Mus musculus: one gene and its partners. Each later gene encodes a partner of the first gene's protein in a complex. Links are inferred from orthologs where the notes say so. Each region holds a gene or a part of one and is shown in the gene's direction. Other genes may lie near its edges.

Region 1 (3,750 bases):
TACATTTTCAACAATTTTCTGTGTGCATGTGGAGGCCAAAGGATGTCATCAAGTGTCCTTCTGAGTCACTCTTCACCCTACCTTCTGAGACAGGGTCTCTCATTGAACCTAGGACTTGGCGATTAAGTTAGACTAGTTGGCCATCCAGCCCAGGCACCCTCCTTCCTGTCTCTGGAATTACAGGCATGTAATTTTGTGTAGGTGCTGGTTGACAGACCTCATGTCCCACCTACCGAATCATCTCCCCTGGGCCCAAGGTATCTGCATTAAATGCATTTTTTTTTAACTTACATTTCTAACTTACCTTAAGTTTATCAGGTTGTATACCATGTAGGTTGTTTTGTTTTGAAACAAGGCCTCATGTAGCTTAGATCTGGAACGTACTACTTAGCTTAAGGTCATACTCACCTTGCGCCTTCCACAAGCTGAGATTACAGATGTGTTCTAGGAGCACCTGTGCACTACTACCTCCCTGAATCTTCACCTCCTGTCCCCTTGCGGGACGGAGATGCTGAGGCCTAATGACTTAATTATCACCGGTCACACAACTGAGAGAGATCTGAGTCCAACAAGCCGATTTCAATACCTCCAAGCTAGTTAGATTGCCATCTTCAGTTGCCACTGCAACAGTTAACTCTGCATAAAGGTGATGAGGGTTGAATCTGTTATTGAACAAGCCACAACTCCACCACTGCTTCGGGCATGACCATCTAGACTAGCTCTGGGGCCCAAAACAAATAAGGGGAGTCTGCAGATGGTTCTGGACAAGATGCCGCCTCTAAATTCCAGAGCAGCTCTCAGAAGAGCACCTAGGCAGAGGCAAGCCTCTCAGCCTACCTCCAGGTGGCGCTGTAGGACCGACCTCGACTTCAAAGAGCGGTTGAGTCGGAAGGCCGCCGGCGGAGTCTATCAGCATAGAGAAAAAGCGGCTCCTGGCCTAGAGAGGCGTTCCCCAGGACCGGCCCGCGTCGCCGACGACCACTGCACTTCCGTTTCCGGGTCTTGCTTCCGGAAGTCGCTTTCCGAGGCGGCCTTCCTACTCGTGTGGTCTTTGTGACTTCCACCATGGCGTACCGCGGCCAGGGCCAAAAGGTGCAGAAGGTGATGGTGCAGCCCATCGTATCCTACGCTGCGTGAACTCGGGGCTTTGGGGGCCGTAGGCGCCGTGAGCGTGGGCGGGGAGCCGGGCAGCCCGCTGCGGGCCGCTTCCCGTGAGGCCCTGGGGCGAACGGGGAGGCAGGAAAGCGCGCGGAGTTGAAGGGCGGCGGGAGGCGGGAGGCGGAAGGCGGGCTCCGGGTGGACCCGGCCAGGCTGGCGATCCGCGATGAAAGCGGGGGATACCGAGGAGGAGAGGAGGATGTGGGCCATCGGGAAGGTTGGAGAAACGAGGGCGGTGGGGAGGGAGCGCATGCTCCCGGCGGTCGTTTGTGCTTGCGGATGTAGCCCGGCCGGACCTTGGGGCGCTGGAGAGTCCGGCGCGGTTGGGAGCGGAGGCTCCGCTGTTTGTGTAGTTCTTTTCCTTGATCGCCGTGCTGCAGAACCTTATCTTCAGATACTTGCAAAATGTACGTAAGTTGTTTCCTTACTGTTACTGAAATGAAAGTTGGGCCTGTTTGACTCTTTGTAACAAATTCTCTGTTTCTAGTGCTTAGACTAAAAAATTGGGGGGGGGGGAGAACCAGAGTTGAGGATAAGGTCACAGGGAAAGCGCTAATTATTAATATGTCCGTGCTGACTTAAGGATGCACACAGTTACCATTATTCTGTAAGAACAATGTAATTATATTTACTATTAAAATTACTCTGTAAGAACGATTTGTCATCGGATTTAGCAGTGACAGTTGCATAGTGCTTTTTCCATAGTTGGACTTAGAATGGAGAAAAGACACCAAAGCGGGGTTTGGGGGAGTGGGGGCGTTATATACAGAGAAGCGAGTGGCAAATGCTCTTCTTTGAGGAGATTTTAGCGATGTTTATTTTAGAGTGTTACAACACAGATGAAAAATCGTTTTAAGCCATTGTAATTTTTAATCGCCAGATTCGCTTTGTACTATCCTGTGAACAGTTCTAACTGTAAGTGTATTCATGCCAGAAGCAAAAATAAATTTTCAGAGTAGGAAAATTAGTTTGGACAGGCCTGCCCGAGCACTTATTAAATGTTTCTCAGCAGGTTAACCAGTGTTGCTAGCTCTTAGATGAAGACTAACTAGTTCTAGTTTTTGGCTTATATTTATTGGAATTTTTAAGATAAGTCGTTTATTGTGGAAACAAAGTAATGGAGTGGGATTTGTTTACATTTCTAAAGTCATTATTTTTATTTCAGAGATCTCGAATTCAGGTGTGGCTGTATGAACAAGTGAATATGCGGATAGAAGGTTGTATTATTGTGAGTACCCAGGCTATTTTTCCTCAAGTTGTTATTAAAAAAGACATCTCAGAAGATGGCCAGTAAGAACAATATACAAGGCGTCAAGGACCCAACCCAAAGAAAGCTCTTCAGAGCTGGAGTTATTTATTTAGCCTTTTCTCCTTGCTCTGGTTAATAGGGTTAGATAATACTTCTCTTAAGAGGAAGGGAAGGGAGAGGTTAGGCGGTGGTGGCGCACGCCTTTAGTCCCAGCACTCGGGAGGCAGAGGCAGGCGGATTTCTGAGTTTGAGGCCAGGCTGGTCTACAGAGTGAGTTCCAGGACAGCCAGAGCTACACAGAGAAACCCTGTCTTGAAAAACCAAAAAAAAAAAAAAAAAGGAAGGGAGAGTTAAGACTTTTAAGAAGAGCTTCGTTTGTGAGGAGAGGGAACAAAAACAAAATGAGAGGGGGGCGGGGAGTGATAAAGGACTTGCATTCTGGATTAGATCATGCCAGAATAGAGCTGGTGGGGGTGAGACTTATGGTTTGTTAGGCTTCTATCGTGATGGTGTTGGGGATCAAAGTACCTGCTCTACCACACAGCTACCATGGCAATAAGTTTTTGTTGTTATTTTAGATTTATTTGTCTGAGTGTTTTGCCTGTGTGTGTTTAATGCCCAAACAGGCCAGAAGTTGTTGGCTCACCTGAAGATGGGTGATTGTGAGCTTCCATGTAGGTGCTGGGAACCAAACCTGGGTCCTTTGCAAGAGCAGCAAGGAAGGATTTGTAACTCCACCACCTCTCCCGTCTCTGTTTTTCCTTTGTGTGAGGCAGAGTCTTTTAAGAGAGACTTACACATGGAAATCCTCTTGTCTGAGCCTCTTCAATGTTTAGATTAATAGCCATGAAAATGGAAAAAAAATTTTTTTAAAGATTTATTTATTTTTATGTGCAATGGTGTTCTGCCTACTGTTATTTGTGTGAGGGCACCAGATCCCCTGGGACTGGAGTTATCAACAGTTGTGAGATGCCATGTGGGTGCTGGGAATTGAATCTGGGTCCTCTGGAAGAAAAGCCAGTCTTCTTAACTACTGAACTGTCCAGCTCTGGCATTGTTATTTTGAGGCAAGAAATTGCTATGTAGCCCAGTAAAGGCCTTGAACTTCCCATCCTGCCTCAGCCTCCTGAGATTTACAGACGTGCTCAGCCTCACTTTTTTTTTTTCTTTTTTGCATCAAGGGAGTGAGTGGGGTTGCTTTGTACATACTCATATGTGTGGATGTATGTGCTAGAGGTATCTTTTATTGCTCTCTGCTTTTTGAGCCTGGAACTCATGGATTTAACAAGACTAGTTGGCCAGCACTAGGTGCGGCTGCAGGCCACTGTGCACTGCATTGTTTG
Region 2 (3,750 bases), on another chromosome or scaffold:
CTGAGGATGATCTTGAATTTCTGATTTTCCTGCACGCATGCCTGGGTGCTAGGATTACAGGTGTGAGCGCCACTATGCCACTACCGCTGTGGTGCCAGAGATGTTCATGCACACTAGATATGCTACCACTGTGCTAAATCCTCAGCCCCCAATTTGACCTATAAAGCAGTTTTTATTTTAGGGACAAGGCATAGCGTGCTCCTTCTTTGATTTAAATGTGACTTTACCTGTGTTCCTAATTTTATATTTCAAGAGCCTAAAATGCTGTTTGATCAATGTCTGTAATTATTTGGTCTTGACATCAACTGGAATTTTACAGACAGACAGAAGGATGTTCCTGTTCTTTTCCAAATTCCACCCAGTTGTTCACTGTCTGGGGTATCAACCAAAGGCAGGTAGATCACTGTCCAGGATATCAATCAAAGGCACGTAGAAAAGGAGGAATCCACTTTGTGTTTCAGAAAACAATTCTGCATCTTAGATCCTGTAACACTTATCAGGGTTATGTAGCTGTTGTTTGAAGGTATTATAACTTTGTTGAATGTTAAACAACAGAAACAGAATTAAAATTTAAAATATAAATATAAAATATAAGTTAAAATATAAAGAGATCGTGGGGGTAGAAGAAATTGTCTTCCTGTGACTTTTTTTCTTCCATAAATAAAAAGCATGCATTAAGAATTCATGAAGTATCCCTAACCAAGTTCCCATACACTACTTAAATAGTATCTGCATGCAGTTTCCAATTAAACTAATTTGTAACGTTTTCTAATTGATGCCGTTATAATTCAGAGTTGCTTGAATTATTTTTTTGTTTCAGCATTCCCATGGAAACAATCTCTTCATACATTTAATTTATATGCAGAAGTTAGTTTGAGGGTTTGAGGCTTTTAACTTGTATTTGTTTTAAATTATTTAAGGCTATTTCGGGGTGCTCAACAGCCATCGTTTTAACTGTAAGTTTCCGTTTCTTAATATTTTAAGGTTCTTTACTGTAAACACACACACACAAGATCACTTCTAGCTCTTGGTTGGTTGTTTTGCTTTCGTATTCTATTTTCTGGCAAAAGAGAGAATATCAGAATATCGGACCTTTACTTCAAGCCCTGGCTGGGTGCCGACGGTACCATTAAACAAACCCGGTCTTGGAAGCCAGCTCACTAACGCGTTCTGACTGTTTTTGATCCCCGCGGGTCGCCATAGGCAAGGAGGACGCTGATTGGGTGAGATGGGAAAGCCGCTGCCGGGGGCGGTTTCGGTTTTCGGCGCGCGCGTCCGCGGAAGCCCGGCCTGTGAGCGTTCTGGATCCGGCTGCAAGGTGAGCCCGCGGCCTGGGAGGAATGAATGGGTGCGGGCAGGCACTCCGGGTGGGAGCGGCTGGCGTAGGCCGCGGATGGTCCGGGCTGGCGGGGAGCGGCTCGAGCCGGGCCTGCGTCCCAGGAGATGCTCGCTGGTCTGGGCCACGCGGGCTCGCGGTGCCGGGCGCGCTCCCGTGGCGCGCGCGCTTCGCGCCGATTGGGGTGAGCGCCCAGGGTTACGGTGGCGCGCGACTTCGGCGCCCTCCTCCACCCGCGAGCCCTGCGCGACGGAAAGTAAATACAGACGAGCGGAGGAAATGGTCCTTGCTGACGGCCTCGGCACACCAACTCCCTTTCTCTTGTGTGGGCCTGTTTCTGTTTCAGCTAAGACCACCAAGTTTTTTAACCACACACCAGTATTTAGTTTTATACTTACATTAAAATGAGACAAGTTGTGATTTTAAAATTCATTGATCTCGTTTGGGCCCCCTGTTTTATTGTGTGGATCTCATAAATTATTCAGCTGTTTCCCAGGCTGACGTCTTTGGGTGTGAGTTTTTTGCTTCATTTTCGCATCCCGAACGATATCGTGATGCCTTAACTTCTATTCCTCAAATTTTCAATTACTAGCATAGATGGTTCTTGCACATTGCGAGACTGGTTTTTCTTAAAGTGTTAGTAATTTATTTGGCTCTTCAAAACCGTGAAAGGGCCTACTGTGGTTCTAAAGTAGCAAAGCACAGCCTCACTTTGGAATTACTATTGGGAGTTTGAACTTGCAGGCTGTGACTGTGTGTGTGTGTGTGAGAGAGAGAGAGAGAGAGAGAGAGAGAGAGAGAGAGAGATAGAGAGACAGACAGACAGACAGACAGACAGAGACAGACAGAGAGACAGACTGACTGACTGACTGCACATGTTAATCAGATGCTGGAACAGGAAGAGACAGCCAGTACCCATCTAGCCTAACTTCCTTATTTTGCAGATGAGCCTGGGGCCGTGACAGGTGAAATGGTGATGAGTTACGCAAGCTGCACAGATAATTAAGTAGCAGAGATTAGAACTCAGGTTTCCTGCCTCCCAAGTGAGTACCCCTAACGACTGCAGCAGCTCTTCTCTCACTGAAGGGTGGCCTACTAGATAATAGAACTTCTTTAAAGAAAGTTTTGTTTTGTTTTTAACTCCCTGGCTTATTTTCTACTTTTGGATTGAGGGACTGGAAAATAGAAAAGTTACATTTTTGTGTTCAGCACTAGAAATTTATTTATTTTTTTGAAGGTCAACCCTTTCAAGACTTTGACGATTGCTTCCAGCTTCCCCGTGTTGGGATCAGATACTTCTGATAAGTGCTACTGTTATCCCTCCCAGTACCGAAAAGTGCATGGACGTTCAGGTTTCCTCTGTGTTTACATATAAACTGTGCAGTCTTCCTGTGCCCTTCACATCATCTCTAGATTACTCACAACGTGCCATTTAATGTCACTGGTTGCAGTAGAGTATTGCTTAGGGAGTACAGCAAGGGGAAAGTCTGTGTCTGGGTAGCAGAGAGACCGCTGGACAAGTAATTACAGCTTCATTTTACCAGGTGAGGCAAGGTTGGCTGGATCCGTAAACACTTTAAACCCACAGACACAGAGGGGCTTGCCTACTCAGCATCTGGTTCTCACGCCAAGGCTCGCCTTTCCTAAAATCCCGTGGTGTTTAAGCCAGAAAACCGAGAGAGAGGGAACGAGGTGGTGGCTAGGGCTCCCTGGCAGCATTTCTGTCAGCTGACGTGTTGAACCACTCCCACCACTCAGTCCTTCGTTGTAGAGTGCTGTCCTCTGAGCCAGCAGTTCCCACCCCAAGGTCACAGCCCCTTTGGGGGTGTCTGGCGACCCTTCCTCGGGAATTGCATGTGCATATCAGAGATTTACATTACAAATCATAACAGTAGCAATAAAATTAACCTTATGGTTGGGCTCACTATACCATGAGGAACTGTGTTAAGGGCTCACACATTAGGGAGGTTGAGAACCACTGCTGTACACTGTAGAGTCTTGAGGGACATCCCTGACCTCTGTAAACTAGATCCTAGTTACCACTCTCCTGTAGTGACAGTACAGACTGTAGACATTTTCAAATGTCCCCAGGGTGAGGCACAAAAGTCACCTCTGGTTGAGAGCAGCTTGCTTTTAGGAGTTAGCCTAAGTAACCCAATTGTCAGGGCACTCATGGCCAAACCTGGACACCTCGCAAGGGTGACCTCTGACATCATATGCACGCTGGAGCAGCTGCTTCTGCCCCGCCCCACTACATAAGACAAACGAGAAAAACATGCAGTAAGAAGCAAACACTGAGTAAGTGTCAGAAATCTGTATGTGACCAGGCTTCTTCCTAGGCTTGGCTCTGACCACCAAGCATTTCTGTTTTCCTTTCTTTTAGTATTTAATGGTTGTTAGAAAAGAATTGCAGG
Region 3 (3,650 bases), on another chromosome or scaffold:
ACAAATGGAGAATGGGCAAGATGGCCTAGCAGGGAACCTACATGATGAGAGAATGGATTTCTGCAGGTTGTCCCCTGACCTCCGTTGTACTGTGGTACCCATATGCATGCATGCACACACGCTAAATATATACAGAAATACTTTTTAAAAATATAGACAGTATTGTAACAGTGAAGAAAGTATATAAGAAAGGTATAGATCGCTAACAATAAAGCATAAGAACAAACGATATTTTATATAAATTAATTGAAGTACATATTATTAGAATGTGACCATCTTTTACATGACAGTTTGTCTTGTCTTAGGAATTACTCCCTAGTTAATAACTAATTCATCCTAGAGATGGAAACTTAACATGGTTTGTAACTCAAAATTGAATTATGTTGTCTGTAGCCCCTTAAAAAGTGAGACAACAACCTTGCTAGCATCTCAGCTTCTCACAGTTTAGAGAGGCCAATGACTATTGGCAAGGATGGGATAAAAATGGCAACGTGCTTAAGTTTTATTAGTAAGATTTTCCTGGCATTTACTAAGAATCAAAAAGAGGAGTGGGTCAGTGGTAAAGTGCTTTGTAGCAGGCCTTGCACCACCCCATCCCTATCACTGCAAATGGGGGCCTGCACACCTACCATGCACTCAGAAGGTCAAGGTCATCCTCTGCTACCTAGCGAGTCCCGTGCCAGCTTGGGTTGCTGGAGACCCTGTCATTAAACAGAAAAAAAGGAAAAGTATCTTTTCTCCCTGTACCAGATGAGTTCATTGTGGGCTAATATTGGTCAGCTGACCTGGAGAGAGTAACTTTGTGTCTTCCTCTGTCATTGACAGGAACAAGAACAAAAAGCAGAGGAAGAGAGAATTCGCATGGAAAACATTCTGAGTGGAAACCCTCTCCTAAACCTCACTGGCCCGTCCCAGCCTCAGGCCAACTTCAAGGTTAAAAGAAGGTACGAAAAGTCATGGGTTGGTGTACGTGTGTGACCATGGTTAGTGTTCCGTGTGTTCTATAAAGTTTCTAGGATCCCACTTTCTGTTGATAACCTTCCCAATCAGATTTTAGAATACGGAAGATGAAAAGAGGTGGGAGACTTCATTTTAATGCATACTTATAATAGCCAAGTCTCTGCTTAGTGATTGTCTAAATAAGAGAGCCAGAGTGACTGTAGCTACCAAGCTTTACGTGAGATGTTAGTGTTGGGGTCCCCAAGACCACCCCTCACAATTCAATTCTAGAAGGACTTAGGGGACTTGGTATGGTGGTATTCATGTTTGATATTATAAGATACACACAGATCATACAGTTGTAAGTCTTCATGGATATACATCCAAGTCACAAGGTGGAGAGATATAGGCTTCCTTAAAATCCTGTTCCTTGTAAGAGGTCACCAAACAGTGAAACTAAAGTTGAGACTCAGGAGTCTCAAGGGAGTGGTCCTGTAGGAACCTGTGCACTATAGGCACAGTGATGGTGAGAGAAGGTGCGGGTTTCCAGTGCTAACTAACCAAAGCTACGCTTAGAGTCGGGGCCCAAGAGGGAACTCTCATGTACAGTGTGCAGAGGGGGACAATAAAGAGCTGAAGAGGGACACCGATGTCGGATGAGGATGCCTCACAGGAGCAGGGGTAGTGTGTGTGAGGGTGTGAGGAGCTCCACTGCCTCATCTCTGCATACACGGCAATGAAGAAGCACTGCCCTGCCACTCTCCTGCTCACTCACTCAGTACCTACCCTTCATGAACAAAGCTCCGTCTTCAGCCTCTTTTCTCATCCCAGAACCATTGGCTTCTTTACTCAATCACAGGAAAAGTACAGCCCTTGTAGTGACCTATGCAGCTAAACTTTAACCCACATTCTTGAAGACAATAGTACAGTCAAGGAGATGGTTGCTGACAACTAGCAATTTATCATAGCTCAGTCTCTATTCATTTGACCTGAGCAGTTGCGAGGCAGGAATGAGGATGAGTATGGCTTATGCTGAATGTGAAAGAGGAAGCAGGTTTGAGGCATTGTAGGTTTGGAGTGTTCTGTACATCTCTTAAGTAAATCTAGCCTGTGTGTCTCTGCAGTTTGTCTAAGCTAGAAATTAAATAATGCATCTGGGAGTTGCCAGCGTGGGCAGAGAGAAGTCAAAAGATTGTATCAGCACTAGAGAAGTGCCCAGTATAAGTGCATAGTAAATGCATAATACATAGTATTTGAATTTAAAATCTTATGCTAAGACTTAGCAGCCAGAGAAGAGGACAGCCAAGAGAGTCACAGAGTATTGGGAGAGGAGAGAGATGATGGTCTAGGGATGGTGATGTAAGTGCAGAAAGGGAGGACTGTATCTTAGCATTGCAGAGGGGCAGGGCAGTTTGGGTGTTGGGAGCAAGCGAGGAAGTGAAGAGAAGCTATCAATTACATGTTGCATATGAGACAAAACATTTGTATCCCTGTCACACTGAGCAGGTCAGCTTTTAGTGTGTGTACTGCATCAAGACAAATTTACTGACATAGTTTCCATAAGTGTGCATAGCTTTGCTCATTTCCCTTGTGCAGTTTCTCCTGGTGGTCATGCACCAGCACATGCAAGCATGTTACATGGGCTGTGTTTAATGCATGTTTTTGAGTGTCTTTATTATATGTAAGGGCTTATGTTTATGTAGAAGGTCATAGCTCTGGTCTACGTATTTCCCGTAACACCTGCTGATGAGTGTGTTTAATGTTTTCTGAAATATAACTGAGCTCTACTCTGAACACTTCAGCAGCCATGGGTCTATAAATCTTTCTTGTTACATTCCTGTAGTTCGTCCTTGCATTATGAAGTGTGCCATGGTAGATATAACTGATGAGAATGTATGAAACTGTACAAAGCACAGTAAACAGGTCACTTACTGTCTGAAGGTGTCTGGATCAGGACAAGTGGCCCTGCCTCTGTGTTTTAAATCTGAAAATACCACACTTTTACCTAAGCACAATCTATGTGTGTCTTCTTTGTAACTGACTTGCTCCTAGTGGAGAAGTGGTGTCTGCTCTGAGTGGGGATGCCCTCCTGCTGTGACAGCCCCACACAGTAGGCATGCTGCTGCTTTTGCTGTCTGGTGACAGCATGTTGAGCATCTGTGATGGTTTATAGTCTGTTGTGTTCTTGTCTCCTGATGAACTATAACAGATTTGTTGTTTGTTTTTCCTCTTTAGATGGGATGATGATGTCGTTTTTAAGAACTGTGCAAAAGGTATAGATGACCAGAAGAAAGACAAACGATTTGTAAATGATACACTGCGATCTGAATTTCACAAGAAGTTCATGGAGAAATATATTAAGTAATATAGTTTTATGTGCTTAATTAAAAACTAAACTGTTAAGGATCAATTTGACTTTTTTTTTTGGTTTCTGTTCTTTCCCAGTGTTAACTTTCTCAGTCTCTTTCCCTTAGTGTAGTACTTTATTAGATAATGGGTTTAGAAATGGATCTAACCAGGCCTTAGTTTCTTTTTAATATGGGAAACGGGGAATCTGCTTGTAATAAATATTTTTAACCTAAATAAACCACTGTCCCCAACTTTTTGCTACAATTTATACAGCTTATAAAAAGTTGCATAATTTCTTTTCAAAATGAAAACTACTTTTGTGTGCTGTGGGTTTTTTTTAAAGATTTTATTTATTTATTTTA

What was found.
Region 2: Snrpe (region 1) and Lsm6 share a complex: the UniProt entries of both Homo sapiens proteins name them as parts of the U4/U6-U5 tri-snRNP complex. The link is inferred for Mus musculus from reciprocal best matches to the Homo sapiens genes SNRPE and LSM6.
Region 3: Snrpe (region 1) and Cwc15 share a complex: the UniProt entries of both Homo sapiens proteins name them as parts of the minor spliceosome. The link is inferred for Mus musculus from reciprocal best matches to the Homo sapiens genes SNRPE and CWC15.

The regions. Positions count from the first base shown.
Region 1 is NC_000067.6:133,607,533-133,611,282, reverse strand, and holds the start of Snrpe (small nuclear ribonucleoprotein E), read left to right. Parts: upstream 1-1,002; 5' UTR 1,003-1,065; coding exon 1,066-1,119; intron 1,120-1,538; coding exon 1,539-1,565; intron 1,566-2,323; coding exon 2,324-2,386; intron 2,387-3,750. UniProt on the Homo sapiens protein: Plays a role in pre-mRNA splicing as a core component of the spliceosomal U1, U2, U4 and U5 small nuclear ribonucleoproteins (snRNPs), the building blocks of the spliceosome.
Region 2 is NC_000074.6:78,818,616-78,822,365, reverse strand, and holds the start of Lsm6 (U6 snRNA-associated Sm-like protein LSm6), read left to right. Parts: upstream 1-1,213; 5' UTR 1,214-1,318; intron 1,319-2,280; 5' UTR 2,281-2,379; intron 2,380-3,750. UniProt on the Homo sapiens protein: Plays a role in pre-mRNA splicing as component of the U4/U6-U5 tri-snRNP complex that is involved in spliceosome assembly, and as component of the precatalytic spliceosome (spliceosome B complex).
Region 3 is NC_000075.6:14,507,026-14,510,675, forward strand, and holds the end of Cwc15 (spliceosome-associated protein CWC15 homolog), read left to right. Parts: intron 1-825; coding exon 826-944; intron 945-3,174; coding exon 3,175-3,304; 3' UTR 3,305-3,595; downstream 3,596-3,650. UniProt on the Homo sapiens protein: Involved in pre-mRNA splicing as component of the spliceosome. Component of the PRP19-CDC5L complex that forms an integral part of the spliceosome and is required for activating pre-mRNA splicing.